Linked DNA regions of Oryctolagus cuniculus. The protein of the gene in region 3 interacts with the protein of the main gene of each other region in a pairwise test. Links are inferred from orthologs where the notes say so. Each region holds a gene or a part of one and is shown on either strand. Other genes may lie near its edges. The genes, in order: PKN1, PAX6, HOMER3, PSMA1, EIF3D, MOS and USP2.

Region 1 (4,305 bases), about 2.8 Mb from region 3:
GGGGTGGGGGCCGCAGCCCCGGGGGCCGCCGGGAGCCCCGCCCCCGGCCCCGCCCCCTCCCCGGGCGCCGACCTCGGCGGTCACGTGACCGAGCCGGCCGCTGGGGCCGGAGGGCGCGGCGCGCGCGGACGCGGCGGCGGCCTGGCCAGGCGGGGCCGGAGCCGAGCAGGCCGGAGCGGGCCGCGCGCCGGGGCAGGGTCGCGCCGCTCCCGCCCCCTGCCCGCCCCGCCCGTGGCGCACGCGCGCTCCGCTCGCCGCCCCTCCCTCCGCGCGGGGACCCCTGGCGGGCGGCAGGAGGACATGGCCAGCGACGCCGTGCAGGTAGGCGCACCTGCGTCCGCAGGCGCGGGGCGAGCGGACGGCGCCGCCGGGGACCCCCGGCCGCACGCTGCCGGGCACGCCGGGAGCCGGGCGGCGAGGGCGGGGGCCTCCCGAGCGCCCGGCGCCCCCTCCCCGGGCTGGGACCGTGGAGCCAGCACGGCCCCCTTCTCTGCAGGTGAAGGTACGGACTGGGCGGCCGGGGACGGGTGGGCTGGGGTACGGTCTGGAGGCCCTCGCAGCATCCCCAAACTCAGCGCCTCCCCGGGAATCTGAGGGAGCGCGTTCGAGGTGGTCCTTGGGGCGGGGGCGTCTCTGGCTGGATGTGTGACCCCCTTCTTTTCGACTCCATCCTCCTTACTCACCCCCCACCCCCGCCTCCCCAGCGTTCGGTTTCTGGCAGGTGCCGCTCGCTCCACCTGGGACAGGTGCCTGGCCCGGTGCCCCGGGAGGGGGGTGGAGGCCGCCCGGCCCGTGCCCCTCCCCCGCGCTGCCACCTCCGCCTCGGGACGGAGCTAATTTACCGTGGTCCGGACGCCACCCAGATTGGCACCTGTTGGCGGAAGTGTCCGAGTCACCTCATTAGGTCCGGGGTGGGAGGAGACCGGGGTGGGGGGCGCGGCTGGGGACCCCCTCGCACACCGCTTGGATTGCCAGGTAGACCTTAGGTCGGACAGGGCGCGGGAGTTTGGGGGAGTGTCCAAGTGGACCATTCCGGGATGTTCCTGTGGTCCCTTAGGGAACCCCTGCCCCCCCCAAACCTCCACGGAGACACATGGTTGGCCTCAGCTGGCCACTCAGCCCTCCCTATTCTCCTTGTGCCCCTTAGGGGGGCCATATTGCTCCCAGACTCACCTGTAACCAGGGGGACCTGGGCCATCGCGGAGTTCAGTGACCCAAATCTGATCCGTGGCTGTGTCTCACCTTGCAGTCCGCCGCCCTGTGTGTGTGTCGTGTGTGTAACCAGGTTCTCTCCTCTGCACCTGCTCCCCACCCCCACCCCCTCCGTGTCTCCCCTGTGCCCAGCACCCTCAGTCCTGTTGATGGCCTGCCAGCCTTGCCAAGGAGCTGGGCGTATCTGGTGTTGCCGTGCACACAAGGTCAGACCTCGGGCGCCGGGATGGGCCGGGGTCCCTGCCTGCCCCCCAGGCCCGGGGAGGAGACCCCTGGCGCCTGCATGCGCTTTGCCGAGCACCACGTAGGACCCACACGGAGGCTGTGGTTCCGGAATGAGGCTGGACCCGTGCCCTGGTTCCCCCTTCTCCCTTCCCTCCCTGCCTCCCTCCCTCCTGGTCCATCGCTTTCTCGTGGCTGCCGGGATGGGGGGATGGGGGGGCGCTGCTGCCCTGTCCCTCTGTCCCCAGCGCCGACGTGTGCCTGTCTGTTCTGTGTCCGGCCGACGGATGTCCTGTCTAGATTCCGGAAACACCCAAGGCATTGAAATCTCCGGACAAGGGGGGCGGGGGGGGGGCGCGGCATGGGGGTCTAGGTCCCTGGCTGCTTTGGGAAGAGGGGCATTCTGGGAGGTGGGCCGTCTGGGTCTGGGGTCTTCCTGCTCCGTGGTGGGAGGTTGGAGGAGCAGGGACTCTCCAACACCAGGCGGGGCCCCTGATGGCTGGGTTTGCTTGGCTGGCTCTCTGGTCACCTCTCACCCCCGGGTAAAAGTGAGTCACCCCCAGCAGGGAGGCCCCGGGAGGCCGGCAGCCCTCGCCCTGGATCTCAGCTCTCAGCTGTTGGAGGAGGAGCTGCCCCACCCCTCTGCCTGGGCGGTCCTGCTCCTGGCTGTGTCTGCTCATGCCTGCTGGGGACTGGTGGGGCTTGGCGGTGGGAGGGGTGGGCGGGGCCTGGTTGAGCCCGGGGTGGCCCTAGGTAAGCCTAGATTTAAATTCCAGTGCGTTTGTGGGGAAGCCGCCTGGCTGTGAAATCCTGGTGGGTTCATGACCTTTGAACCCCGGAGCTTCTTGGAAGGAGAGGGGTTGGAAGGGGCCCAAGCATTTAGCATGCTGATGTTTGGGGCTGGGTGGTTCTTGGTGGGTGCTGTCCCGTGCCAGATGGGACATCGGGGTGGGGGTGGGGGCATGGGTAGGAAATGCCCCCTCCACTGAGGACCACCCTGTGGAGTGAGTAGAATAAGGGCCCTGCTCAGGGTCAAGATTATTTGAAATGAGAGACAGAGATCTTCCATCTGCTGGTTCACTCCCCAAATGCCTGCAACGGCCGGGACGGGGTCAGACCAAAGCCAGGAGCCTGGAGCTCCATCCGGGTCTCCCACATGGGTGGCAGGGACTCAAGGACTTGAGCCACCACCTGCTGCCTCCCAGACACCATAGCGGGGAGCTGGCTTGGCAGCACAGAGCGACTGGGACTCCTCTATATGGGATGCAGATGCTGCACCTTATAACACCTACCCCTGGAGAATTCTTGCTTTAAATCCTGGCCCTGCCTCCTGCTGGCGGTAGGACCTTGGTGGGGGCCCTTTGGGCCTCAGTTATGCGCTCTTGTAAATGGGCTGATAATGGCACCCAGCTCATGCACTTGTGTTAGCTGCCCTTGGTGAGGTTTGCAGCAACTGCTGGTCCTCGTAGCTGAACTCGAGTGTTAATGTGTGCTCAGGGTGTGGTTTGTGGGCTGCTGGCCTGGGGACGTTCGTGTCCCAGCCCCACCCCCCCCCCATGCTGTTTCATGAGGTCAGGCTCAGGGAGCCGCTTCTGGGCCCACCCAGCGCCCTAAGCCTCTAAGCTGTGGTCAGCAGCCGCTGGCCGGCCAGCCAGAGAGGAAGCAGGAAGCTGGGCGGTCTCTGTGGAGGAAGAGGCGGGGTGGGGGGACTGCCTAGCAGACGCGCTGTCCTGACCCTGAAGGGGAAGTTGGGGACAGGGGGTGCGTGGGAGGGTCCGGCCACAGGGACATGTTCAGGTCACAAAGGTTGGAGGCCTTGGAGTTGTGCCATGGAGACCTGCAGGGGCGCCTGCGTGTGGGAGCATGTGGGTTGTGTGCACTTGGGCACGGGGTGTATGTGTGCGTGCGTGTGTGTGTGTGTGTGTGTGCACTGGGTCGGTTCTGGAATGACCCGAGCAGCACTCACCGGTGTATGCATGTCCGCAGGCAGGCAGGCAGGCCTGGGGGTGTGCACAGCCCAGGAGCCTCTGCAGATGTGGGAGTGTGCACCCCTAGGAGCCCGTGTCCAGGCACACCTCTGCAGGTGTGGGAGTGAGCACCCCTAGGAGCCCGTGTCCCAGGCACACCTCTGCAGGTGTGGGAGTGTGTGCGCACCCCTAGGAGCCTGTGTCCAGGCACACCTCTGCAGGTGTGGGAGTGAGCACCCCTAGGAGCCCTGTCCCAGGCACACCTCTGCAGGTGTGGGAGTGTGTGCACCCCTAGGAGCCCGTGTCCCAGGTACACCTCTGCAGGTGTGGGAGTGAGCACCCCTAGGAGCCCGTGTCCAGGCACACCTCTGCAGGTGTGGGAGTGTGCACCCCTAGGAGCCCGTGTCCAGGCACACCTCTGCAGGTGTGGGAGTGAGCACCCCTAGGAGCCCTGTCCCAGGCACACCTCTGCAGGTGTGGGAGTGCGCACCCCTAGGAGCCCGTGTCCCAGGCACACCTCTGCAGGTGTGGGAGTGTGCACCCCTAGGAGCCTGTGTCCAGGCACACCTCTGCAGGTGTGGGAGTGTGCACCCCTAGGAGCCCGTGTCCCAGGCACACCTCTGCAGGTGTGGGAGTGTGCACCCCTAGGAGCCCGTGTCCCAGGCACACCTCTGCAGGTGTGGGAGTGTGTCTAGGCACACCTCTGCAGGTGTGGGAGTGAGCACCCCTAGGAGCCCGTGTCCCAGGCACACCTCTGCAGGTGTGGGAGTGTGTGTGCACCCCTAGGAGCCCGTGTCCCAGGCACACCTCTGCAGGTGTGGGAGTGTGTGTGCACCCCTAGGAGCCCGTGTCCCAGGCACATCTCTGCAGGTGTGGGAGTGTGCACCCCTAGGAGCCCGTGTCC
Region 2 (4,215 bases), on a different chromosome or scaffold from region 3:
TAAACTCTGGCAAAGGCACAGCACGAACACCGGGTTTGGTTCGGTTTTGTTTAATAGAAGGGAAATGGTCAGAAGTAGGGAAGAACCAGAGCGACCGATATGTGGCCGAGGAACCCCAGTGTGGGTTTTCCGCGCCTCCACCTATGGGCTGAGGGTCAGCACCGCTTCTCGGCTCCTACCCCAGAGCAGCCGGGCCTCGCGAGTGGGGCTCGGAGCCGTCACTGCTCGCCTGACTTCCGCCGCTGAACTCCGCCCTCCCCACAGCCAGGGACAGACATTAGAGAAAAAAAAAATCCAGAAACAGAAAAGGAAAAGGCCATCCGCCCTTCATCTGTGCATCTCACCGTCTCAACCCCCAAGTGCAGCCTCACAGAGCAAGCAGAAGGAGTCAGCACCCCGCGTGAGCCCCCTCCCCAGAAACCGCCGACACACAAACAACGCCAACCCCCGACTTTCACTTCCTTAAAAATCTCCAACCTGCAGCCCCGACTCTAGAGAGCAGCCTTCCCAGGAGAAGACGTGGCTCCCTGCTCGCTCTCCTCTCTCCTCTCTCCTCCTTGGAGCCTGCTGATAAATTGACTCCAGGAGCCTGAGCTTCTTAGCAATAAATAAGCTCCAAATATAGAAGAGGGGGGAAAATATGATGAGCCTCTCTGACATTTGTCTTTAAAATAAAACTAGCTGCACGTCAAGTTTGAGCTTAATTTCTGGAAATAGGCGGAAGTCGCTCCGGATCATGCATGGAAGGCTAATTGAAAAGATCAGTCGGGGCGCTTGTGGCAGCCTTGTCACTTTGTGACAGTGCTCCGCTCCGGGAAATTGCATCGTCACGACAAACGGGACCGTGATAAAACGACCCTTTCCGTCCCTATTTGTAGATCACTCAGACGAGATTGAACTGCACTAGTTTCCCCTTCGAGGGGAGCCGCGTTTTCAGGGTAGCCCAGGGCTTGGGGCTGAGGTGGTTGAGGGGGAGGTTGCTCACCAAGGGGGGGGCTGGAGCCTCAACTCGATGAGAAGTGACAGGCGTCTGGGGGATCTGGGCTCCGGCCGGGCCCAGCGCAGGCGGGGACGCTGCGGGGACACTGCTTCTCCTACACAGCCAGGCCTAGCCGTGCTTCCGGTTTCTCCCAAATTCCCTTTATTGCTTTCCCGTGCCTCCCAAGTCTGTTCCACCGCTGCGCCTCACTGAGCCCCGCGTCTGTGCCAAGGGGGCCTTGGGGGGGGCGGGAAGCAAGGCTGTCCGGAAGAGGCAGAGAAGAGACTTTCCAAAGTTCAAGTACTGGCCGGAGCATGCTAGCCCTCACCCCTTGTCAGCTCACCGCAAACACCACCAAAAAAGAAAAAAAAAAAAAAGACCAAAAAAAAAAAAAAAAGGCATGCTACCTCCGCAGCTACGGCCCGCGGGTGCTCGCCCAGGATTCGCCGGGGCCAGGGCGCCTCTGCCAGCATCGAAATGGCAGCGAGGAAGCGCAACTCTAAATTCCCCTTCAGAGGTTAAGCCTCAATCATTGTGTCCCTTCCCTAGGGACGGCTGGCGCTCTCGCCCAGTGGCGATGATTATGCGCCTCGAATTCGACCGCGAAGCATCTAATAGGAAAACATATGGTGTCAATTTGGATGCTCCGCGCCTCGCGCACACCCGGGAACGAGCGGCACAAAGCCCCGCGGGCCGGCCCGCGACCCCGCGCCCCTCGGGGCCCGCCAGCCAGGCCGCGGGGGCAATCGCTCAGCGCTGCGTGCGCCGGCGGGGTCCACCCGGGGAACTGCGGGCTGAGGAGCTTCAACTCCAGGGGCAGGGAAGCCAGCCGCACGTTGGGGTGGCCAAAGGCATTCGCCTCGCCAAGGTGGGTGCCTCCCGGGTCAGGCCTCCGAGTGTGGCAGGGTCTGCGCAAATCTGCCGTGTCGCTTGCCGCCCCTGTGCCTATTCTGAGCCTCCTGTTCCACCAGCCCCAGCAGCACCAGGGGGCGACCGGCGCCTCCGGAACACATGGGCTGGGCGCCGAGGACCCTTCGGAGCCCTCGCGGTTCGGCAAGAGCAGGTTGCTGGAAGATCTAGGCCCTTCCACGCTTCGAGCCCTTAAGCCGCGTACAGATTGCGGTGAACCCCTGCCCGCCCTGGTTTCATTCGGCCTCTAGGCTGTAGCTCTGGTCTAGCCCTGCCGTACGAAGGCACCTAGCACCTGGGCACGAGGGCGGGTGGGGGCCCACAGGACCTGGGCAGAGCAAAGAAGGGAGGCACAAGAGCCCTGGCACAAGAACCGAGCACTACAGGCCCGCGACAACCCGGCCCGGGCAGTTGCAGCTGTTGCAACGTCTGGGCGCAGCCTTCACCCTCTCCGCAGACCTTGCTCTCTCCTGCAGCCGGGAGCAGCTCCCACAGCGCCGCTCACCGCCCCCACCCCGCTGCGGGCGGGCTGGGGTGCTCCGCGCCCTTTCCCTTCTAGGCCCGTAGTTGGGGTGGGGAGGGGAGGAGCTGCCTGCCCTGAGAGTGACTGGGGGAGGGAAGCCCCCTACCCCGCCCGGTCGGAGCATTCAGCCTCTGCTAAGCCCAAAGGGGCCTCCTTCTCCCCAGTGCAACCAGGAGACGCCTTCGCCCCGCCCTGCTCAGCCCAACCCCTCTCCCCGGGGTCAGAGCCCGGGCAGGGGCGGGGAGGGGGGTGTGAGTTACAGGATTTGGGGGGGATGGGGTTTCTCTACCGCAGCTTCAAAAACTCGGGCGGGCTGTGCTGGAGGGCGCAGCCCCTGCTCCTCCAGGATCGGGAACCGCAAAGCAAACGCCCTCCGTTCGCCGGCTGCTGGATGCCGAGTGGGCCGCAGTCACTGCAGATCACCGGCCTTTTACCCCTGCCAGGCGACCTGGCCAGCGCGGCCACTGCCAGCCCCTGTGCCCTACCCCAACCCGCAGCACCACGCGTCCCTAGCCCCAGGCCCGAGAAAACGAGAGGCACTTACTGTTCTGCATGCTGGCGTTGGCTGGGGGCCGCAGGATCCCACGGGGCTCGAATTTGGGGGCTCTGTTAGCAAGAAAATTGGAGTTAATCCCGGGCTGCTGCACCAGGTAGGCCTGGACTCCCAACAGGGCAGGGCCTGGGGCCAGGACAGAACACTCCTTTAGGAACTGATCCCTGGAGCAGCTTGGGGGCGATTGGAGGGTCACTCGGCTCTGCCCTCCAGTGCTTGCGAAAGCTAACTTTGGGGCTTCAAATAAAACACTCTAACATTCTCAATCTGTTTCCCCTAAATCCTTTAGTAGTTAACCCTTTAATCAGAGAAATGATGACCCAATTTTGAATTTGTTTTCTTCCATCTGAACCATAATGAAGAAGCATTATGAGTTGGACTGCTTCAGGTTTTGAAGCCCAAAGCAGTCTCGGAAAAACTTGCCTGATATCAAGGATGTCTGTCCACTCTTGCAATAAAAGGCCTCACACATCTGCACGCCCCTAGTTAAAGTCTTCCCCCTAAGACAAAACAGAGGGAGAGAAGGGTAGGTTACAGTAGTTCCAACGCGGAGGTGCGGGGAATCTCGAACCCCACCCTCCGGGAAGAGCCGGCGCCGAGGACTCAGGGAACTGCCAAGACACACTCAGCCCCAGCCTCACACCTACAATTCCAGCAGCCTCTCCCACACAAGTCCCCACCTTTTTGGAAAAGGGTGCTCTGTCCTGGATTGGGGGAGATGGAGAATCCGAGAAGCTGGGGGTCCCCCTTGGCCAAAAATATAAAGAACCAAGAGAAGAGGAAGGGGAAAACAGAGGAAGCAGTGAAGGCCAGGAACTTGGGGGGTAGGGTGGAGGTGGAGAGCATGATTCCTGAAGTTTGGAGGTGCAGGGAAAGGGACCTCGGTGGACCTCGCAGTGCCTGAGGGTACAAGCTGGAGCATTCTGGGAGGGCTGCAGGGCCACACTCCCCTCTTCCTTGTGGAATTTCAGCACCCCAGCTCCCCTCAACCCAACTCTCTGGTTATTCTTTTTCCTTTGCCCCCCACCCCCACCCAAACACACAGAAGCTCCCCAGCCAGACCCCTCTCCATCTGGCTCCTGGCCCCTCGGGGACTTTGAAAAGTGGCAAGCCCAACTTTTTCCCCTAAACCTCACTTACTGTGATTAACTTCTCTTTTGGCATTTAGATCTTCCCCCCTTTTACTGTACTGTGACACACGCTGTCTACCTCGCCTCACTGCTCTAAAAAGTACGAACAGGAGGGGGTGAG
Region 3 (4,413 bases):
AAAACAGAGGCCCAGGCGCACCTGGGTTAGATGTTGCTCCGAGGCAAAGCCGAGGCCGTAGACGGTGTTGGCGCGGCTGTCCGCCCACTGCCCGAACTTCTGCGAGGTTTTGGTGAAGGTCATGTTGGGGGTGACGGTGCTGTTGATGACGGCCTGGGGGTGGGGTGGGGGCAAAGTTGACAGGCGCTAGCAATGGTGACCTTGAAAACTCTCCCCCATTTGACCTCGCAGGGGTCAGTGGGGGGGGTTCCCATGCCCCGCGGCACACGGCAAGGTGGGGGGACCAGCCCCAGGACCACACCCCCCACCTTGGCGCCTCCGATGCTAATGATCCGGTAGACGTTTCGGGTGGCATCGTAGAAGTAGGACACGGTGAGCGCATGCTTGCCCGCGGGAATCCAGTTCCGCTTGGTGGCCGGGTCGATCTGGAACACGTGTGCCCGAGTGCTGAAGATGGGCTGCTCCCTGCGCGGGCAGAGCGTGCTTAGTGGGGGGTAGGGGTGTGCTGGGTGCCCCCCCGGGGGGGCTGGGCTCAGGGTCAGGGCAGCTGGGCGCTCACCTGGCTGTGGACATTGGTCAGACCGGGCTGGGTGGCCGGAGCTGCTGGTTTGGCCCCTGTAGAGAGGGGAGGGGCCTCTGAGTGCCCCCTGTGCCAGGGTGAGGCGAGCCACCAGCAGGTGCACAGACCTTCAACCAGGAAAGTGCAGAACGGGAGCAAAGGGGTCCCATCCTCCCCTGTCCGGGGGCAGCGCCCACAAAACCCGGTGCTCGGGGACTCCTGACATCCCAACCTGGCCCTGGGTACCAGACCCCCCCCACAGTCCCCCCTCCATCCTGGGGCTATGCTCCCGACCTGCCAGCACCCATCCGTCTCCAAACCAGGGCCCTTCCGCCAAAATGTGGGGCGCTGCCAGGTGCCCGGAGACCAGCTCCCGACCGAACTCCCAGAGAGTACCCCTCCCCCCCCCGCAGTCACCCTGGGGCACCGGCGCACCTTAAAGACAGAGTCCAAATCCCCAGGGACCCACCCCCCCATCCAACGCAGGTGCCCTCCAGGGTGGGGGCAGGGCAGGATCCAGGAGGGGGCAGAAGAGGGTCCCCCAGTCTCCCTGTTGCTTCCCTTAGCCGCCACCCCCAGGAAGCTGCCCCCAGGACCCCCAGACCTGCACCTGCGGGGGACCTCCGAGATCAGAGGCCGCGATGCCCCTTCCCACAGGCTGCTGTGGGGGGGGGGGGGTCCGAGGCTCAGAACACGGAGCCCCTCCCCACCGGCAGGGGGAGCGGCGGCCAGGGGCGGGTCCCGGGCGCGGCAGGATTAGGGGGGCGCAGAGGTGCCCTTCCGGCCCCGGGCCCGCCCCCGCCGAGACTGGGGCGTTGGGACAAGTTACTCACCCACGGGTCACGCGTCCAGGACGCCGCCGAGCGCGCCCGGGCTCCCGCCGCGGGGTGGGGGTGGGGGTTCGCCACCTCCCGGGGGCCCGGGGCAGAGGCCCCACACCCTATGCGCCCCGGACTCATCCGCCGGGGGTAGGGGACACCCCGGGCGCGCCCCCACCTCGGGACGTCGGAGATCCCCGCGAGAGCCCCAGGTCCGCGACTCCGGGGGCCACCTTCCCTGCCACCCCCACCGCCCGGCGCGGAACTTCGGGGACACCCTGCTGACGCGGACCTCGGAAAGTCGGGGATCCCCCCACCCCGCGCGCGCAGCCTCCTCCGACGCCGGGTGCGGAACGTCGGGCACCTCGCGTGCCCAGCCGTCCCCTCCCGGCCCCCGACTTCGGAACTTCGGGGACCCTCCCCCGCCTCGGCCGCCTCTCCAAGCCCAGATCTAGAACTTCGGGGACCGCCCCCTCGCGCCGCCCCCCGCCCCAGTCCCCAGGTCCGGAACTTGGGGATCGCCCCGCGGCTTCCCCCCTCCCCCCAACCTCCGCCCGGGCCCGGGGACTCCGAGGCCCCCCGCGCTCCGGGCGCAGGATCGGCCGGCCGGGCTCACCCTGCCGGGTCTGCGCCCCGCTCGCTCCCAGCCTCCGGGGCCCGCGCCCTCCGCGCCGCCCAACGCGCCGCCCGCGCCTTTGTCTGCGCCGCCGCCGTCCGCGCCGCCTCCGGTCCCATCGCGGCCGGTCCCGACGCGGCCGCCGCCCGCCCCGCCTCCCCGGGCCGCCGAGGCCGCCCCGCTGCGCCCCCTGCTGGCCCCCGACGGCGGGCGGGGGAGGGGGCGGGGGAGGGGTGGGGATGGAGAGACGGACGGAGACGGACGTCCGGACAGGGACAGGAGGCGGATGCGCAGAGCTGGAGGGGGGTGGGGGGCTCTCGCCCTCGGGCCTGGGCTGGGGGGGCAGCCGGGCGGGGCTCAGGAGCTGGGTGCGGATTCTGCGCCCAGGAGATGCAAACAGTAGGTGCTCCATAGGGGTTACCACCGAAAAGAGGAGACGTGGGTGGGGCAGGGCTGCCTGCCTGGGCCCCTGGGTCTCCCCGAGAGGACCCCAGGCCCGCAGGTGGAGTGACCCACGCTGGCCACGCTGCTGGGGGCAGGGCCTGCCCCTCCCCCCCCAACACGCCTTTCTCTGGGACTTTCTCCGGATGCCCCCCCCCCCCCCGCCACTGTTTTGGGTTCATGGGTTCAGGTCCTGCAACAACTCAGCCCAAGGGTCCCCGGGGCTCTGGGCCCCACCCCCGAATCTTCCCACAGCCTCAGGGGCTCCCCCCCCCAGCCCCCGGCACCCGTGTGTCTCGCTACCCAGAATCCCCCAGCGCAGCCGGTGGCCACCTTTCACGAATGAACGTTGGGTGGATCCAGGGTCCGGCCGCCTCCACGCCTCCCCACCCCGGACGCGCTCCGTTCCTGGGCTCCGAGGCTCAGCTCCGCTGTGGTCCGCCTCCTCCAGGAAGCCTCCCTTGGTTCTCCCAGGCTTGAAAGAGACTCTCCCCCGACGGCCCCATTGCTTCCCAGGGGCCTCCGTACCGTCCCGAGCGCCTTGTGACCCCGCGTGGGCCCCTCCTCCGGGGGTGGCCCAGCTGCTGCTGCACCAGCCGAGGGCCCGAGGCACAAACTCTCGGGAACACGGGAGCGGGGTCTGTTCTGTCCACAGACCGACCTTTCCTTAGGCCCAGCAAAATCATTTTTTTTTTTTTAATAACTAAATCGGTTTCTGGCAAGCCCGGGGCTCCTGGAAGCCACCCCGGGTGTGCCGAGTGCTGGGCCGGCTGCCCACGTGGGTATCAGGGCGGGGGAGGGGAGAGCAGCTGGGCAGGGGCCCAAGCTGACTTTGTTCCTAGCGTAGGCAGAAAGCAATGGTGTCTGTGTGTGCGAGAGAGGGAGAGAGGGAGAGTGAGCGAGCACCGAGTGGCTGCACTGAACCCCATTCCCAGCTTCTGGGAGGGGCTGGCACCCGGTTGGCCTTGAGCAGCCCTGACCTGAAGCCGTCACAGCCGGGCTTGAGGGGGTGGGCGTGGTTCCCTGGGTGTGGACCTCAGTTTTCACCCCTGGGAAATGGGTGGATGCTGGCAGGGCCGGAATGAGCGGTGGGGAGGGGAGGAGGTGGTGTAGACCCGGCTGTCCCCCAGTGGTGGAGACAGGAGAAAGGGCTGCCCCGAGCCTCTGCCCCACCCCCACCCCAGCCAGAGCCCTCCCCTGTTTTAATGTCTCTGGTCCGAGGGTCTGGGGAGGGGCTTCTGCTCCTCCCTGGAGCGCTCCCTTCGGCCCAAGCAGGGGCCCAGCCTCCCGGGTCCCGCGCCTGTCCGTGCCAGGGTTCAGCTCCCGTTCACCTCCCGCGTGGCTCTGTCCTGCTCCTGGATCAAGCCGGACCTGCAGCAGACACCACGCAGGCTTTCAGAGAGAGAGGAGCCCCAGTGTCTGCCAAGCCCCCTGGGGGCAGCAGGTGGCACCGGCTCAGGTACTCGGGCCCCCACCACAACACCAGGGCCGGGCCGGGCTGAAGCCAGGAGCTCCCTCAGGGCTCCCATGTGGGTGCAGGGGCCCAAGGACTCCAGCCATCTTCTACTGCTTCCCCAGGTGCATCAGCAGGAGCTGGATCAGAAGTGGGGCAGCCAGGACTCGAACCCGGTGTTCGTATGAGAGGCTGGGCCACCGTGCTGGCCCCCACTTGCCCCTTTCTTTCCCCTGTCCCCCCTCCCCCGGCCATAGCAATTTGGTCCAGCTTCCAGACTTTAAGCGCTTGGCAAACTCCTATTCACTCCTCAAAGCCTCACCTCTGTGTCCACCTCTGACTCCCCCCCGGGCCTGAGTGCACCTCGAGAGCTGAGACAAACCCGTGTCCTCCCAGCACTGGCTGGACGCCTGGGGGTCAAGGGCGAGCGAGAGTGTGATGCCTCGGGGGCACAGCCGCCGGAGACCCTGCCTCAAGTTCAGAACTTGACCTCTGACTCAGGCCAAAGCGAAGTCACTCCATTCCT
Region 4 (4,239 bases), on a different chromosome or scaffold from region 3:
AGGAAGCTCCTGGCTCCTGGCTTTGGATCGGCTCAGCTTTGGCCATTGCAGCCATTTGGGGAATGAACCAGCGATGGAAGACTTCTTTCTCTCTGCCTTTCAAACCAATCAATCAATCAATCAATCTTAAAAAAAAAAAAAAAAAAAGACGAAAAAAGCAAAGGTGGTATAGCTCATTCTTAAAAATGATACAAAAGTGTCAAGTGTTTCTTAGACATAACAGAGTCTCAAACAACACATGTTACTTTAAGTTATCACATTATTTGATGACTTCTCAAGTCTTAGTACCAGTATGTTGAATTCTATTAGTTACTATTACAAGAACCAGGATATGGAATATTCAGAAACTAACCCAATCCATTAAGATAGTCATAATATTAACTTATAAACATTCTGGCAGACAACTTCCCAACATAGTTTACCTCAGTCTTTTCATGATAAGTAAACAATTATGAGTCAGGGGCCAGTGCTGTGGTGCAGTGAGTTAAGGCCCTGGCCTGCAGTGCTGGCATCCCATATGGGCACTGGTTCAAGTTCTGGCTGCCCCACTTCCAGTCCAGCTCTCTGCTATGGCCTGGGAAAGCAGCAGACAATGGCCCAGGTCCTTGGGCCCCTACACCCATGTGGGAGAAGCTCCTGGATCCTGGCTTCAGATTGGCTCAGCTCTGGCTGTTGTGTCCATTTGACTAGTGAACCAACAGATGGAAGACTTCTCTTTTTGTCTCTACCTCTCTCTGTAACTCTTTCAGATAAATAAAATAAATCTTTAAAAAATATTATGAATCAGAGATGTTTGTTTTTCAAAATCATACTCACCATAACAGCCTAGCATCAGCAGTAAGCCCCGCAATTGAAATACCAATATGGTTGTCAACATGGAGAATTTTTTTCTGATGAGCTGCAAGCTCTGACTGTGCCCTCTAAATAGACATCATAAAAGATAAAAATAAGTTTAAAACTTTACTGCCTACACAGTGAAATTTTCATTTGATAATTTTGCTTTCTAAAGGAAGATATATTTATTGCTTTATTTACCTTCAATGCAACCAACACTGCATGGGTTTTTGATTTCAGACCAACTGTGGCTGAACCTTGCTTAACAGCTTCCATTGCATATTCAATTTGATGAATCCTGCCCTAAAGGGAAAAAAAACACATGTCTTAGAGTCACCTTAGAAGAGTTTCACAAATTAAGAATTAAGAGTCCTCAAACCTCAAGAGCACTGTTAAATCTCAAATGACTTTTTTTAAAACCAGAAAATGTATTGAATTATAAATTTAAGTTATGGGAGTGTCTAAAATGAATATATCCCATTTTCTCACAGTCTACAATCACACAACCTTCTAAACATATTGCAGCCATGAAAAAGCTCTTGAATGGAATAGTATGAAACATTATCTTACCTGAGGACTCCAAACAGTGACATCATTGTCATACTGGTTACGAAACTGAAAGTAAAAAAAAAGATCAAATTATTGTCAGAACCCTCCTCTTAATATTAAGAAATGTGTGATTTCATTACACATTAAAGTAACTGTTAAGGCAAACTCACTGGAAGATTACTACTATACTCAGTGGCAAGCCAAGTCTACAATTTCTATGAGCTGGGGAGGAAGGAACAGCTCTAAATGGGTCTCATCTTTCCAACTTTCTACCCAGCCACTCTCCATAGCGCTCCCTTTGGGTTCAACTATTGAAGTTTATATGCATCAAACTTTTTCTTTAAATGAGCTCAAATGTCTATCTCTTGAATTCTTCTCCCAAAACCCTCACAGCACGAAGTCCCACAGCTCTGTACACATCCTTTTCTATCTTAAAATTAAGGTTAGGGATATGTCTGATTATCTTTGAGCCTCCCCTGTACTTGCACTTTTGTACACATAAAATTTTTCTTTGTTACTTTGGGCTAGATACGAATAACTACGATACACTACTGTTTTAGACAATCTTCAAAAAGGCCTTTCACTACTTGGCAGAACAATCACAGGGGAGAGCGGACTGAACGCTGGACTCTTTGGCGTGGGACTTGAAGCCCACAGAACTACATTATAATCCTGAGTCCATCATTTCCCCTTTCAGGATAAGTTCACTCATTTGCAATCAGGTGACTGGACAAAGTGAAAGAGACCTTTTCTGATCGCGCCCTAGGGGGCTGATAAGTCGGACGGACCCACCAAGGAAAGGGACGCGATCTAAGGACACACACCCTGGGTCTAGACCGCCCCGGCGGTACAAGGCCGCCTCCGAGTCAAGTCCCGTCTCTCTATCGTCCAGAGCACGAGGGATCGTTTTGGACCTCTGGGAATCTACTCCGGTGAGGGAACTCGAGAGGCGGACTCGACCACTTCATCGAGGCCTTGAGAATAGCGAAATGCGCCGTGAGGAAAAGGCTGCACCGGCTACCGACCGCAGCTCGCCAGGCCAGGCCGGAGATGCTGAATCACTGCCGGAGCCCTCCCGCAGACTGGGGTTCCCATGCCCCGTGGCCTCGGGCCGCTCTAAGAACGGCAGGAGAATTGGTTCGCCATCCCCAAGTCACTGGGACCTCTGCCCTAAACCTTCGAAGGATCGGGACCCAACGCACCATGGTTCCGTCGCCGGCCTGGCTGCAGGACTCCTAGCGAAGGTGCGGAGTAAGGAACGCAGCCGAAACTACCGCTCGGCGATCTACAGAAAAGGCTGCGGGGTTTTGACGGCGGCAGCGCAGGGTAGATCAGTCTATTCCGGAGCTATCGATAGGTTTCCAGCGCTTCCTCGCGCCCTCCTGCGTGGGCGGGGCCCTGGGAGAAGGAGGAACTGAGATTGGCGGGAAACGTAGGCCCCGGAGTGCAGGCAGTGGCTAAACAGCAGCTCGTAGCCCGTCCTGGAGTCTCAGGTTCATCGTCCTCAGAGATTTGAGCTGTGTGTGTCTGAGAAGAACGAGGCTTCAGGAAAGGCCACAGAATAACGCCTGTTTATGTGTGTCAGCCATACTCTTCCTCGAGTATCTTGCTGGTGTGCGTTCTTTGCTTTGCACTTATGAATCCTCTGCCTTCCTTAAATCTCTTCTTCGAAGACCCTGATACCAGCAGCCCTTCATTTTTTATCACTGTTGTTTTCCTCCTCCGGACTTTGAACTACTGTCTTTCCATGCCCTCAGAACCAAGCAGACACCCGATAGATTAGATTAGGCCGCTGAGAATAAAAGGACTTTTTCTTCTGAATTATCTATTTTCTTTTCGAAAGGATCTTCTGGCAAATCCCCAAATGAACTAGTTTGAGACAGCTCTGAGCATAGCTGCCAATAACACCTACCAACTGGTAATTCTCTTTTTAAAGAAGAGGTGAGTGCCTAGATTAAGGTGACATTGGAGCTGAAAGCATCCCTTCGGGATGAGAGTTTTGCATGTACAAGAACTGGCTCAGGTGGTGTGGTCAGGTTCGCAGCAGTGTAGAATCACACTGTTTAGAAACCTTTGCATGTATGTGTTTGAACGCTTTCTTGTCTTCAACATTTTGCAGGTCAAACAAAGATGCCCTGGTATTCTGCATTCTGAACATATATTTACCCAGATCCCTATTGTTTGATATTTAGGTCCTTCCAAATAACTCACGAACTGTTTCCTATATATGTTTAACATCCATATTCTTTTCTTTTGAGTCAGTTCTAGGAAATGGAATTACAGGTTCAAATGAAATGTATAATTTTAAGGCTTTTCATGAAAAGAGCTAAATTGGCTTTTAGAAAAGTTTTACTGTTAGGTCCTCAACTGTAGTATATGGGGTTGCCCCCCTCAAATTTGCAACAATGGTTATTGTCATTTTTAAAGTAACAGATTAAATTAATAGTTCATCTTTTTGATGTACACATTCCTAGCATGTATGAAGTGCTTAATAAATATTGGCGAAGGGAATAAAGAATGTTGAATGAGTGACTAAATGCCCATTTAAAAATTGTCATGTAACATATTTATGGTTATGTGTTGCATACAAATCTGTCAGTTCTTTTACATATAAAATTATATTAAACTATTTTTAATACTATTAAAAAGTTATAGCCATTTTGTTTTCATAAATATTTCTGAAATATTTATGAAATGTCTATTATATTTTCAGTAGTTGTATAGTGTTCTATTGTGTGGAAATGAGATAATTTACCTTACTATTGGTGAGCAATTAGATTCTTTCCAAATTTTTGCTATTATAAAAATACCATAATGATGATTATACATTATTTGGTGTACTTTCCTGATTACCTC
Region 5 (3,720 bases), on a different chromosome or scaffold from region 3:
AGCCCAGGTGCTGAGGTCCTGCACCCATGTGGGAACCCAGGTGGAGTTCCAGGCTCCTGCCTTCTGCCCGGCCCCGCCCTGTGGTTGAGGGCTTTGGGCGCATGAACCGGGGGATGGCAGGCCTGTCACCCTGCCCTTCAAGTAAACCTTTGATGGGGAACAGGTAGCACGAGGAGGCTGGGCGCAGGGGTTGCGTTTGCCCCGCTCTGTGGGGGCAGGGGCAGAGCCCACAGAGAGCACATCCCCCCGTAGAGCTCACTGCTCTCCGTCTCCGTGCCTCAGCCTCTGGGTCAGGCCTCGGCGGGCTTGGCGCCGCCCTTACCCTGTCTGTCCGCCTCTCCCACAGCGAGTGCTGCGGGGCCCTGGAATATTACGACAAGGCCTTCGACCGCATCACCACGCGGAGCGAGAAGCCACTGCGCAGCATCAAGCGCATCTTCCACACGGTCACCACCACGGACGACCCCGTGATCCGCAAGGTCTGCCCCCGCCCCGCCCTCCCCGCTGGGATCACGGCCGAGCCCCGGGGCCGGCTGAGAGCGGCACGTTTGTGTGTGTGGTTGGAACTGTTACGTAAGTCTTGGAGTCAGACTGACGGTTAGATGGGAACAAGGCCAAGGGCGGCCGGGGCGTAGATGAGTGTGGACAGTGCCTGACCCGGATCCCAGCCCTGCCGGGCCGCCTGGATTCAGCTCCGCAGCCTTAGTTTGCTCATCTGTGAAAGGGGTTTAGTGTACGCGGCCGTGCCGTGGGGAGCAGGGCGAGCCACCAGGGACCACTCGCCACAGTCTGCGGGGGCTCAGCCACGGTCCTGGTGACGCTGCTAACGGACGCTCCAGCTGCTAGGCTGCAGCCCTCTCGGGCACCCGGGGAGGCGTAGGGACGAGAAAGGCAGGGGCCGTGCGGCGAGCAGAGGCGGGAGTGGGCAGCTGGACCGGGGGTGTCTCGTCCTTGCAGCTGGCTAAGACCCAGGGGAACGTGTTCGCCACTGACGCCATCCTGGCCACGCTGATGAGCTGCACGCGCTCCGTGTACTCCTGGGACATCGTGGTCCAGAGAGTCGGGTCCAAGCTCTTCTTCGACAAGCGGGACAACTCTGACTTTGGTGAGGGGCTTTTCAAGGCACAGCCCGAAGGCCTGGGGGAGGTGTGGTCACAGTGGGCGTCTCAGGGTGTGCACGGTGTGTGCTGGTCACAGCGGGCCAGCCAACACGTCCCCTTCTGCGGTCTCCCTCTGCTGTGCACCGCTGGGGACTCCTTCTGTCCGGCCGTGAGTCGCTCGCCAAGCCTTGGGTGGCTTTGTTGACGGAGAATAAGCCCCACGTTGGAGAGCCGTAGGAAAGTGTCTGCCTCCCCCAGGTGTGGATGGCACCACACTCTGCTTCCAGACTATGTGCACTTTGTATTTCTGATTAAATGGAAGGCCCCCTGGTTGTTTTTTGCTGCAGTGAGTTTACCAAGGAAACAATACAATATATTTATTTGATGTGTAAATATGGATACACACACAGCCACAATGAAAACCAGGCCACTCAGAAGATAAAAGAGAATAATGGTGGTTGGTTGGTTTGTTTGTTTGTTTGTTTGTTTGTTTTAACAGCCAGTTAGTGAGAAAGAAACAGAGAGAAAGGTCTTCCTTCCGTGGGTTCATCCCCCAAATGGCCGCTACGGCCGGCGCTGCGCCAATCCAAAGCCATGAGCCAGGTACTTCTGGTCTCCCCTGCGGGTGCAGGGCCCAAGCACTTTGGCCATCCTCCACTGCACTCCCGGGCCACAGCAGAGAGCTGGCCTGGAAGAAGAGCAACCGGGACAGACTCCGGCGCCCCAGCCGGGACTAGAGCCCCGGGGTGCTGGCACCTAGCCTAGTGAGCCGGAGCGCAGGCTGGAATAATGGTGCTCTAAGCTTGAAGCCTGAGGCCGTTTCTTTGTTGAAAGGCTGACAGAATCAAGTATTCTGAAGTTACCCAAGTGTGTCACACAGTGGCTGGCTGTCCCATGAAGGGAGGGCCTGTGTCCTGGGACTGTCCACATTGCTGGGGGCTCTTGCCAGGGTGGGTGACCACGCTGCCATTTCCGCAGACCTGCTGACCGTGAGCGAGACAGCCAATGAGCCCCCGCAGGATGAAGGCAACTCCTTCAACTCGCCCCGCAACCTGGCCATGGAAGCGACATACATCAACCACAACTTCTCCCAGCAGTGCCTGAGAATGGTGAGCAGACAGGCGTGAGCTGACGGCAGCTTCGCTGCCACCGATTGCACCTGCTTCAGACTGGGCTCTGGGGTTATGGGATTGTAGGGGACAGGTGTGGTCCGTGCCTGTGGCCGAGGAGTTTTGGACTTGGGCTTTGAAGTCAGACTTTCTGGCTTTGAACCCTGGATTCCTCTACTTAATAGCTAGCTTGTGGCCTTGGCGTGTTTCCTCCCTGTAAAACTATAACACACGAGTTCTTTAACAAGTTTGTGGAAAATGGATTGAAAAGGTGTTTGTTTTGGTGCCAACAAAAATTTGAAAATGATGCATCTTCAACACATTTTCCACGAATGTTTTGAAGACTCCTTTTGTGTGGACTTCAGTTTTTTGCACAGAATAAACTTACCTTTTAATTCCATTCTCCAGACTTGTGAAGTCCCCTCGTTCTAGCACTTGTCTGACAGACATGACACTGCTCTAGGCGGTGGGACCAGCCGAGCCCTCCCTTGGGAGCGGAGCGGAGGGGCGCGGACGCTGGCTAGGAGCCGTGCTGTGGGGGTAGCACGGGACTGGCGCGTCGGAACTCAGTGCCGGCGTCGGGAGGGTGAGGGAACAGCAGGCCTGACGCCTGTCTGGCCTCCTGCAGGGGAAGGAGCGGTACAACTTCCCCAACCCAAACCCGTTCGTGGAGGACGACATGGACAAGAACGAGATCGCCTCCGTTGCGTACCGGTAGGCGCCTCTCGGGGGCGCGAGCTCCTGGCGGGAGGTGGGGCGAGGGCCGGGCCGGGACCCAGCACTGCTCCGTCCTTGCAGCTACCGCAGGTGGAAGCTGGGGGACGACATTGACCTCATCGTGCGCTGTGAGCACGACGGGGTCATGACCGGAGCCAACGGGGAAGTGTCCTTCATCAACATCAAGACCCTCAACGAGTGGGATTCCAGGGTGAGCCCCAGCTGGAGGAGCCGCCTCCTTCCGTCACCTTGACTCTGTCTGGTTTTCGTGCTTTGAGCTTTCCCTCCGCTTAGCGCCTCACTGAGCAGGAGCGTGGGCGTGTAGAACGCACTGCTTCAGCAGCCTCCGCCAAGCAGCAGCCCCCTTCCCCTGGTCTGTCCTCATCCCCGCTCCATCCTGACCCCTGTTGGCGTCCACCGTGTGCGTGTCCGGCTCCCGCCCCGCCTGTCGTCCAGGCCGGTGGTCTCCCTGCAGGCCCAGCCGCCTGTGCTGGACTCGGACGCTCGCTCAGCATCACAGGAAGCTGCTTCCCTCACGTCCTCCCTCGTGCTGGCGCGGTGCTGTTGGGCCGTGGGTGGACTGCGGGGGCGGCAGGGCTCCGGGCTGCTGTGCGGGACGGAGGCCCATCGGCAGGAAGCCCGAAGGCCCAGCTCTGCTGTTAGGTCTTCTATCCACTGCTTCACTCCCCAAATGGCTGCAATGGCTAGACCGATCTGAAGCCAGGAGCTTCTTCCGGGTCTCCCACACGGGTGCGGGGTTCCAGGCACTTGGGCCACCTGCTGCTGCCCTCCCG
Region 6 (3,120 bases), on a different chromosome or scaffold from region 3:
CATGCCTGAATCCCACATCACATATCTGGCTCAGACTCCCAGCCCAGGTCCCAACTCTGGCTTTCCGCTAATGCAGAGCCTGGGAGGCAGATGACTTACGTAACTGGGAGGCCCGGACTGAGTTCCCAGCTCCCAACTACCTTGTGCAGGCATTTGGGGGGAGTGAATCAACAGATGGGAGCATTCTCTCTCGCTCTCTTTTTTCATCCTCCCAATCCCTCGAATTTAAGAAAGAAAGCATTTAAAAAAATATTTTACTGATCTGGTATATAACCTGATTTGTAAGTGATCTGTTAATAGTTTGGATGTAGGTGGTAGAGATGGACCATATGGTGTGAATTTCAGAAAATTGTAGCATTTCTGCAATGGAATCCTGTTTTAGACAAAATATTTTTATCAATAACAAATTTGAATATATGGAATATATATGTTATTTATCAACAAATTTGAACATATGGAATAGTTCAAATAAGCACTGGACCTATGGAGAGAAAACTATATAAAGTATGAGGTAAGTTAGCAACAACACTAAACACGTAGCTTTTGCCATTTGTCAAAGAAAAGGCATTTGAGACTCAAGTTTGCAGTAACTTTATTTTTTTTTTTTAAAAAATCCATGCTACGAATATGTTTTCTTCTACATCTCCACTTCCTTAAAAGTAGATAGAAATAAAGACAAAAGCTTATCTTGAAACGGGTCGGGAGTCAGGTGAACTCCGTGGTTAAGGATTTAAGGTCCACCAGCAGGCGGTCCGCACTGGGCCTCTGCAAAGCACTGGCCCTCCAGCCGCTCTCAATGATGTCCCCAAGCCTTTGTCCGGGCACAGTGTCCCTGAAGACAGCCGCACAGAGAGACGGGCGGAGGTTGTAGGCCACCACTGCGTACAGCACGTACTGACGCTCCCCGGAGTAGGGCACCTCCTTGGTGGCCATCTGCCAGAGCGTGATGGCAAAAGAGTAGATGTCGGCCTTGGGCGTGGCAGCCTCTCCTTTCAGGATCTCGGGGGCTCTGTGCGTGTATGTGCCTCCCAGGTGGTAAGGGGGACAGCACCTCTGATCTTCCAGCCTCTCCGAACAACCGAAATCACCAATCTTACAGACATCTCGCTCGCTGATCAAAATGTTCGCGGGCTTCAGGTCCAGGTGCACAATGCTTTGTGAGTGAAGGAAAAGCAGACCGTTGACGACATCTAGGGAGTACTGCAGACACTTGCCCAAACTTAACTGCTCCCCAGTGCCATGGTGGGGCGCCTCCGACTCCTCCGCAGCCAGGCCAGGAGCCCCGTAGATGACTTGGTGCAATGTGACGTCGCCGCCAAACTCCATGATGATGGTCCCTAGGCTGTTAGAGCCTGCGGGCGTGCGCGTGCTGGCAGCCACCACTCGCACGATGTTGTCATGGCGTAGCCTTGCAATGTTCAGCTCAGCCCAGAAACTCCGCTGGGATGCTCGTAGGTTCTTGGTGCACCTGTTCACTTGCTTTATGGCCACAGGGACGCCACGGTAAGTCGCCTTGTACACAGAGCCAAACCCTCCGGCTCCCAACCTCCGTAGCAAGCACACCTGCTCCCAGTCGATGGAGCACCAGGCCAGACGGCGAGGCAGCCGAGGGGCCCGAGGAGGAGTGGCCCCCAGGAAGAGCTTCCCCGTCTTCCCGGGGAGCTCCGAAGGACTGCTGCACGGCCGCGAGTCCACCGACGGGGACAACTCGCTGGCAGCAAGGCAGCGGCGCAGGACGAGAGGCGAGGGCATGGTACGCGCTCCCTAAAGAGAGCCCCAGGCCAAGGTGAGTGTAAAGATCAGGAAAAACCGCAGGAGTTCGGAAACATGAAGGACCACTCCTTCACACCACCCCATTCCTTTTTCTCCTCTTCCTTCGTCTTCTCCAAATGAGCTACATCTGCGCTTCTCGCTCAGCAAGGGTCTATCAGATGCCGGGCAGGCAGAGAGTTTTTCCTTCCACACTTAAAGTGAATTCTCGTCAAAATAAGCTCTCCTCGGATAAACAGCACTAGTTTGTCCCAAAACTCACCCTACTTACACAGCGATCTTTCATAGGAAGAGGCTTTTTTTTTTTTTTTCAACTCTGGTCCAATGCACGTTCTTGGACCAAAGAGATCACAAAAATACGATGTAATTGTTTCACACTTTGCAGGCTATAATGATTGTGAGGGTTACTCTCCAGCTGCATTAAATCACTTCCAGCAGTTATTGGCTGCAAGAGTTGAGCAAGGAACAGCAGAGGTTTGTTTAACCTGTTTCAGAGATAATTAGGTGCAACATTCATGTAGCTAACTAAATTGCAACCTTAAAGGAATCACTCCAAATAGAAACACACAGAGGTCAAAACACGTACCTCCTCGATTCATCAAGGAAAAGAATTCTCTGTCTCTCCATTCAGCTTACACAGCAGATTAGCAAGACTCCTTAACGTCACATTGACTTCCTAACCATCCTTCCTTTCCACAGCAATTGGATTCACCTGGCAAACTCACACATAAGACTCGGCAGCAAATGAGCTGAAGTACTGAAGCGGAATTAGGGGAGAGGGAAAAGCAAAAGTGATTCTGAGCCATGGTCAGAGCTTTAAATAATCACAGAGATGGGGGAATTATAGAAGTGGAAAAATCTGAAAAAATAAAAATGGCACAAGAAACCATGAATTCTTTCTTTCTGGTTCTTATAACACAAATTAACATTCACATCTTTGGAAAAAAAGAACGATATTACCCCATTTGTTGAAGACACCTAATAATGTAGCATCTACATTTGTAAATACTCGAATGGTAACGTTTCCATATTTTAAAGCATCAATAAACACATAGGTGACTCAGAAACACATTTTAATGACAGTTATATGCTTCTGAAGTATACTGGTTCTGAGAAGTAAGTAAATACAAACCACTGACATAAGCAATTTGATGTCTGTGGGGTCCTAGAAAAGAAAAAGGATTTCCATTCTATGCTCCCTGTGTGGCTTAGCATGCAATCCTGTGTATAATAGTTAACCTGTTTGAGCCTCAATATTTTCATGTAGGAAACTAGGAGGGCTGGCACTGTGGCGTAGTGGGTAAAGCCACCACCTGCTTTGCCAACATCCCATATGGACACAGGTTCGAG
Region 7 (4,231 bases), on a different chromosome or scaffold from region 3:
CTTCCTGCTACCCGGGTGCCCAGGGCAGGTGAGCGGGGAGTCCCAGTCAGTGTCACCTCCGCAGGGGTGACCTCAGAGCTTCCCAAAGCTGCTTGCTAACAGCATCAGAATGCGCTGACCCCTGAAGGGCAGGGGGGAGGTGAGAGGGGGCCCCTAGCTGACACTCTCTGACCCGTACCCCTCGCTGCGCTGGCCGCCTGCTAAAGTCAGGGCACAAGTGTCAACCCTGGCAGGAGTGGAGGATGCGGGTAGAGGGTGGGGGCGGGGCCCACAGTCCGGGAACTCTGCCTGCTCCACTCCTGCCCTGGGGTGGCCACCTGCCCCCTCCCCGCCTGCCTGTTCGTGGCAGCTCTGTCTGTCTTGTGCTAGCACCGCCGGGCCCCTGCCTCAGCAAGGGACCATCCAGGGGAATCTGGGTCCCTCTGGTCTCTAGGGGGCTGTGCAGGGGCTCAGGGATGGGGGAGGGGTGATAGAGATTGGAGATTAGGGGGAGACTCCTGACTGGTGGAGAAGAAGTGGGAGGGCTCAGAGCACTGCCTTCTAGGGTGCGTCTTGATTTGGGGTTGGGAGGGGGTGGGCATCCCTCTACTTCCAAGAGGTGGCAAAGAACGGGACCTGCAGGCAGCGCTGGTGCCCATATATTCCCTCTTCAGGCGTGATCTGCCCAGACCCTCCCCAGGGAGCGTCTCCATCTCCCACTCTGTCCTCCAGGGATCGCTCTTTCCTCAGTCCTCAGCTCCCACCCATGGCTCCCACAGGCCGGGTGGGCAGCCTCGAACCACAGGCTACCCCAGACCCCTGGACGTCTGGAGGACAGAAACGCAGACACCAGAGGCACACGACTGACCTGTGCTGGGGGAGCTGGCGGAGCCTGGGGGCTTCTCCTTCCCGGGCAGGGCAGGGAACCCAGTGGAGGCGGAGAGCCCGAGCCAGGAGGCTGGGTAATCCGGGGCTCGGGTTCCGGCTGATATATATAGTATCTTATCTGACCTCCCTGAGACGGCAGCAACTCACTTGGATTCCAAGCCCCGAGAGAATTAAAGGGACAGTAGCAGGCCCACCCTCCGCCACTGCCCCACCTGGCCAGTGCCAGCCTAAGAGAGCCGCTGGGCCTCTGGGGAGGGGCGCGTGTGGAAGGGGGGACGGAGGGGTGGGGTAGGGGAGTGGGTGTCAGGAGGAAACAGGACAGGAAAGAGGGCAGAGGGGTGGGGGCAAAGGCAGAGGCTCTGGATCTGTCCACCACAGGGGCAAAGAGGGGAGAGGCCTCGGGGCCAGCCCAGCTCCTTTAACTGGGAGAAGGAGTGGGTCTCGGGGCACAGCGGCCAGCACCCAGGCTTCAGCTCCATACGCTTTCAGCATGGACGCCTCGGCCTGGGCTTGCATTCTAGCTCCTTCCCACTGGATCTGAGACAGTGAGCAATCACTGTGCTCGCTGGGCCTGGGCTCCTTGTTAGCTTATACAGGAGGAATAATAATAAAAGAAAATAATAATAATAGGGGTACATCTCACAGTTGTGAGCATGGATTAATCTTTGTGACATTTCCTGGCCTATAGAAGACTCCAACCCATGACGGTTAAACCGAACACTTGCCTTGGTTCCTGTAGCTTAGCGGCTGTACTAGAGCAGCACCTCACCCCGCGAATCTTCCTGGGAAGGGGACGTGGGCACCCTCTCCAACACCAGAGTGCCACAGGGCTCTGAACAGGTGCCTGGCCCATCAGTGGGAAGAGCATCTTTCTAAATGTCCTCTCCAACACGGGGAGGGGGGGGGAGTCAGCCCATCTGGGACCCTTCCCCCCCTGCCTGACCCTGCTGGGGGCTCCCACTCTACCTGTTCCAGAGCTCAGGATTCCAGGGCCTCGGGGCCGGGCCGCACAGGGTCGCAGGAAGGAGGAGGAGAGTTCTTGGTGCACCTGTCTGCTCCCGGGTAGTTTCTCGCTGGCTGTCCCAGAGCGCGGCGAGTTCCCCAGGCTGTGCCTCCGCCCCGTCTCAGCACGGGCTACTGACTCAGCCCTCGACCTGCTGATGCACTTCCCAGGCCGCCCGCGCCCGGGCTGTCATTCCGGTCCTCATTCCAACTGCAGCCTGGCACGTGTGTGCGGCATCAAAGGGGAGGGGGCAGCCGCGCTTCCCCGGGGCTGTTCTCGCGCCCCTGACGCGCGAGGCGAGGGCAGCAGCCCTTGCCTCCAGCTCCATCTTGGTCCCGCTCCGAAAGCAGCGGGCCTGGGAGGTGGAGCGCCCACTCCTCCGCGGGGAGCTAGAATGGGTCGTCCTGGGCTGGCTTCCCTGGGCTCCAGACTAGAAGTTGCGTGCCCCGGAGCACCGCGTGCCGGCGTCTGGGTTGGGATTGGTGAGGATTTCAAAGATGCCTCTTTCTGATTTGGGATTGGTGGAAATTCTCCCATTCCGCGTAACTGCTACCCTCCCCCAACACCCCCCTCCCCCGCTTCTGGCAAACTGACCACAGACAGCCGTCGCGAGCTTGGCGAGCTGCGCGCACGCGTGGGGAGGGGGCCGTCGGCGTCCAGGCGGTGAGGCTCAGGCCCCCGGCCCGCGGGAGCTGCGCTTCTCGGAACACACCGATCCGTACACAGATGGCTCTTCCTGGCACCACGGGCTGCCAGCTGGCAGCCCCCCTCGCACGCGGGCGCCCGCCGCTGGAGCTCCCCCGCTCAGCTGGCCCTCGCCCTACATTTCTGGTGCCCAGGCTGACGCTGACCTCTCACCTTCGGAACCTGAAACCGGCAACTGACCTCCGCACCCCCTGTTCCCGATCTCCGACAGGTGGCACGTACCTGCCTCTTCTCGGAGGATGGACGAGTCGAACCCGGCACAAGCATGGAGCTGCGGGTGAGTCCCGGCTGGTACAGGCGCGGTGCAGTGAGCAGCAGCTGACGCAGAGGGCTCCCTGGCCTCGGCTCCTGCCCGCCTCTCCCCCACCTCCGCCGGGGGCCCTGGAAGGACCTCCCCGGGAAATCGGCGCCACCCAGCGGGCAGCCACCTCATTGCACCCAGGCTGGCAGAGCCACGCCCCGCGTCTCACGGCGATTGGCTCGTCTCTATTGTGACGTCATCCCCTCCCCGCCCGGCCAGGGTCTCCCGGGCAACCGACGTACACAGAGTACCACGTGGAAGGAAAGCACGCCAGTTTGCAGTGGGTGGAGCAAGGACAGAAGTGGGGTGGATGCGACGCGGCGGGGCAGCTGGAAGGTACTGGGAAAGCGGAGGGGCCGGGGGCGGAGGGAGCCTGGGAACTTGAGCCCCGGGCGGATCCACTTTCAGTTTTTAGGAACCGCTGAATGTCACTGCCCCTTTCCACCGGGCTGGGGGAAGTCCTCAGCCTAGGCCTCCACTCCTTTGGCCTGCTCCTATAGGAGCTCCCTGCTCCGTTTACTTCCATGGATTGGTGAGTATTGATGACTACCCGATTGCATAAACAGAGACTATGGAAGGAATTCTCCTTCGTCATCGAAGAACTTGAATTTTTTTAAAAATTGTTTTATTTTTAAGTCAGAGTTACGGAGAGAGGCAAGAGAAATCTTCCATCTGCTGGCTCACTCCCCAAATGGTCACAGCGGCTGTGGCTGGGCCAGGCTGAGGCCAGGAGCTTCTTCTGGGTCCCCCACCTGGGTGCAGGGGCCCAAGCAGTTGGGCCCTCTAATGCTGTTTTTCCCAGGCCACTAGCAGGGAGCTGGATTGGAAGTGGAGCAGCTGGGACATGAACCTGTGTCTGTACAGGATGCCAGCTTTGCAGGCTGTGGCCTAACCTGCTGCACCACAACTCCGGCCCAAGCACTTGCACTTTTGACCTGCCTCCCCTCTCCACGTGCTTGTGAGGACCAAGTGGACTGGTGCCAGGGCAAGATCAGATTTTCAACCTCACTGGGACCAACAATGAGTACCTTCTCCATAGCAGGTGACTTCACCCATCTGCACACCCCTCAAACCCTCCTCCTCCTCTGTTTCCTGGAGAAACTAGGTGCAAACAGGATGTGGAGACCTAAGTTTCTACCTGCAAACATACCTGAATTCATTCTTCCCTCTGCGCCAGGAGCTGTGAAGAAGATGCCCCCCCCCATTTTTTAAAAACACAAGTATCCATGTGCACCTATGCTTTTTTATGTATGTATGTATGTATTTGAAAGGCAGAGCTACAGAGAGGCAGAGGCAGAGAGAGAGAGAGAGAGAGGTCTTCTGTCTGCTAGTTCATTCCCCATATGGCCACAATG

Evidence for each region.
Region 1: the proteins of HOMER3 (region 3) and PKN1 interact in binary tests that used the Homo sapiens proteins (3 or more experiments, as listed by UniProt). The two-hybrid records come from large-scale screens. The link is inferred for Oryctolagus cuniculus from reciprocal best matches to the Homo sapiens genes HOMER3 and PKN1.
Region 2: the proteins of HOMER3 (region 3) and PAX6 interact in binary tests that used the Homo sapiens proteins (3 or more experiments, as listed by UniProt). The link is inferred for Oryctolagus cuniculus from reciprocal best matches to the Homo sapiens genes HOMER3 and PAX6.
Region 4: the proteins of HOMER3 (region 3) and PSMA1 interact in binary tests that used the Homo sapiens proteins (3 or more experiments, as listed by UniProt). The two-hybrid records come from large-scale screens. The link is inferred for Oryctolagus cuniculus from reciprocal best matches to the Homo sapiens genes HOMER3 and PSMA1.
Region 5: the proteins of HOMER3 (region 3) and EIF3D interact in binary tests that used the Homo sapiens proteins (3 or more experiments, as listed by UniProt). The two-hybrid records come from large-scale screens. The link is inferred for Oryctolagus cuniculus from reciprocal best matches to the Homo sapiens genes HOMER3 and EIF3D.
Region 6: the proteins of HOMER3 (region 3) and MOS interact in binary tests that used the Homo sapiens proteins (3 or more experiments, as listed by UniProt). The two-hybrid records come from large-scale screens. The link is inferred for Oryctolagus cuniculus from reciprocal best matches to the Homo sapiens genes HOMER3 and MOS.
Region 7: the proteins of HOMER3 (region 3) and USP2 interact in binary tests that used the Homo sapiens proteins (3 or more experiments, as listed by UniProt). The two-hybrid records come from large-scale screens. The link is inferred for Oryctolagus cuniculus from reciprocal best matches to the Homo sapiens genes HOMER3 and USP2.

The regions. Positions count from the first base shown.
Region 1 is NC_091447.1:63,092,100-63,096,404, forward strand, and holds the start of PKN1 (serine/threonine-protein kinase N1), read left to right. Parts: upstream 1-1,346; 5' UTR 1,347-1,361; coding exon 1,362-1,418; exon of another isoform or gene 1,419-1,701; intron 1,702-4,305. UniProt on the Homo sapiens protein: PKC-related serine/threonine-protein kinase involved in various processes such as regulation of the intermediate filaments of the actin cytoskeleton, cell migration, tumor cell invasion and transcription regulation.
Region 2 is NC_091432.1:34,172,728-34,176,942, reverse strand, and holds the start of PAX6 (paired box protein Pax-6), read right to left. Parts: upstream 2,966-4,215; coding exon 2,956-2,965; intron 1,354-2,955; exon of another isoform or gene 986-1,353; intron 950-985; exon of another isoform or gene 478-949; intron 1-477. UniProt on the Homo sapiens protein: Transcription factor with important functions in the development of the eye, nose, central nervous system and pancreas. Required for the differentiation of pancreatic islet alpha cells.
Region 3 is NC_091447.1:65,895,563-65,899,975, forward strand, and holds the start of HOMER3 (homer protein homolog 3), read right to left. Parts: upstream 2,910-4,413; 5' UTR 2,768-2,909; intron 2,148-2,767; exon of another isoform or gene 1,994-2,147; intron 1,829-1,993; exon of another isoform or gene 1,393-1,828; intron 616-1,392; 5' UTR 574-615; coding exon 560-573; intron 466-559; coding exon 309-465; intron 154-308; coding exon 22-153; intron 1-21. UniProt on the Homo sapiens protein: Postsynaptic density scaffolding protein. Binds and cross-links cytoplasmic regions of GRM1, GRM5, ITPR1, DNM3, RYR1, RYR2, SHANK1 and SHANK3.
Region 4 is NC_091432.1:51,702,981-51,707,219, reverse strand, and holds the start of PSMA1 (proteasome subunit alpha type-1), read right to left. Parts: upstream 2,983-4,239; 5' UTR 2,589-2,982; coding exon 2,586-2,588; intron 2,444-2,585; exon of another isoform or gene 2,208-2,443; intron 1,450-2,207; coding exon 1,405-1,449; intron 1,138-1,404; coding exon 1,036-1,137; intron 921-1,035; coding exon 817-920; intron 1-816. UniProt on the Homo sapiens protein: Component of the 20S core proteasome complex involved in the proteolytic degradation of most intracellular proteins. This complex plays numerous essential roles within the cell by associating with different regulatory particles.
Region 5 is NC_091442.1:113,759,852-113,763,571, reverse strand, and holds part of EIF3D (eukaryotic translation initiation factor 3 subunit D), read left to right. Parts: intron 1-346; coding exon 347-479; intron 480-957; coding exon 958-1,105; intron 1,106-2,078; coding exon 2,079-2,209; intron 2,210-2,837; coding exon 2,838-2,923; intron 2,924-3,007; coding exon 3,008-3,137; intron 3,138-3,720. UniProt on the Homo sapiens protein: mRNA cap-binding component of the eukaryotic translation initiation factor 3 (eIF-3) complex, a complex required for several steps in the initiation of protein synthesis of a specialized repertoire of mRNAs.
Region 6 is NC_091437.1:81,358,497-81,361,616, forward strand, and holds MOS (proto-oncogene serine/threonine-protein kinase mos), read right to left. Parts: upstream 1,753-3,120; coding exon 706-1,752; 3' UTR 701-705; downstream 1-700.
Region 7 is NC_091432.1:110,941,667-110,945,897, reverse strand, and holds the start of USP2 (ubiquitin carboxyl-terminal hydrolase 2), read right to left. Parts: upstream 2,938-4,231; 5' UTR 2,798-2,937; intron 2,334-2,797; exon of another isoform or gene 1,834-2,333; intron 1,008-1,833; exon of another isoform or gene 848-1,007; intron 1-847. UniProt on the Homo sapiens protein: Hydrolase that deubiquitinates polyubiquitinated target proteins such as MDM2, MDM4 and CCND1. Isoform 1 and isoform 4 possess both ubiquitin-specific peptidase and isopeptidase activities.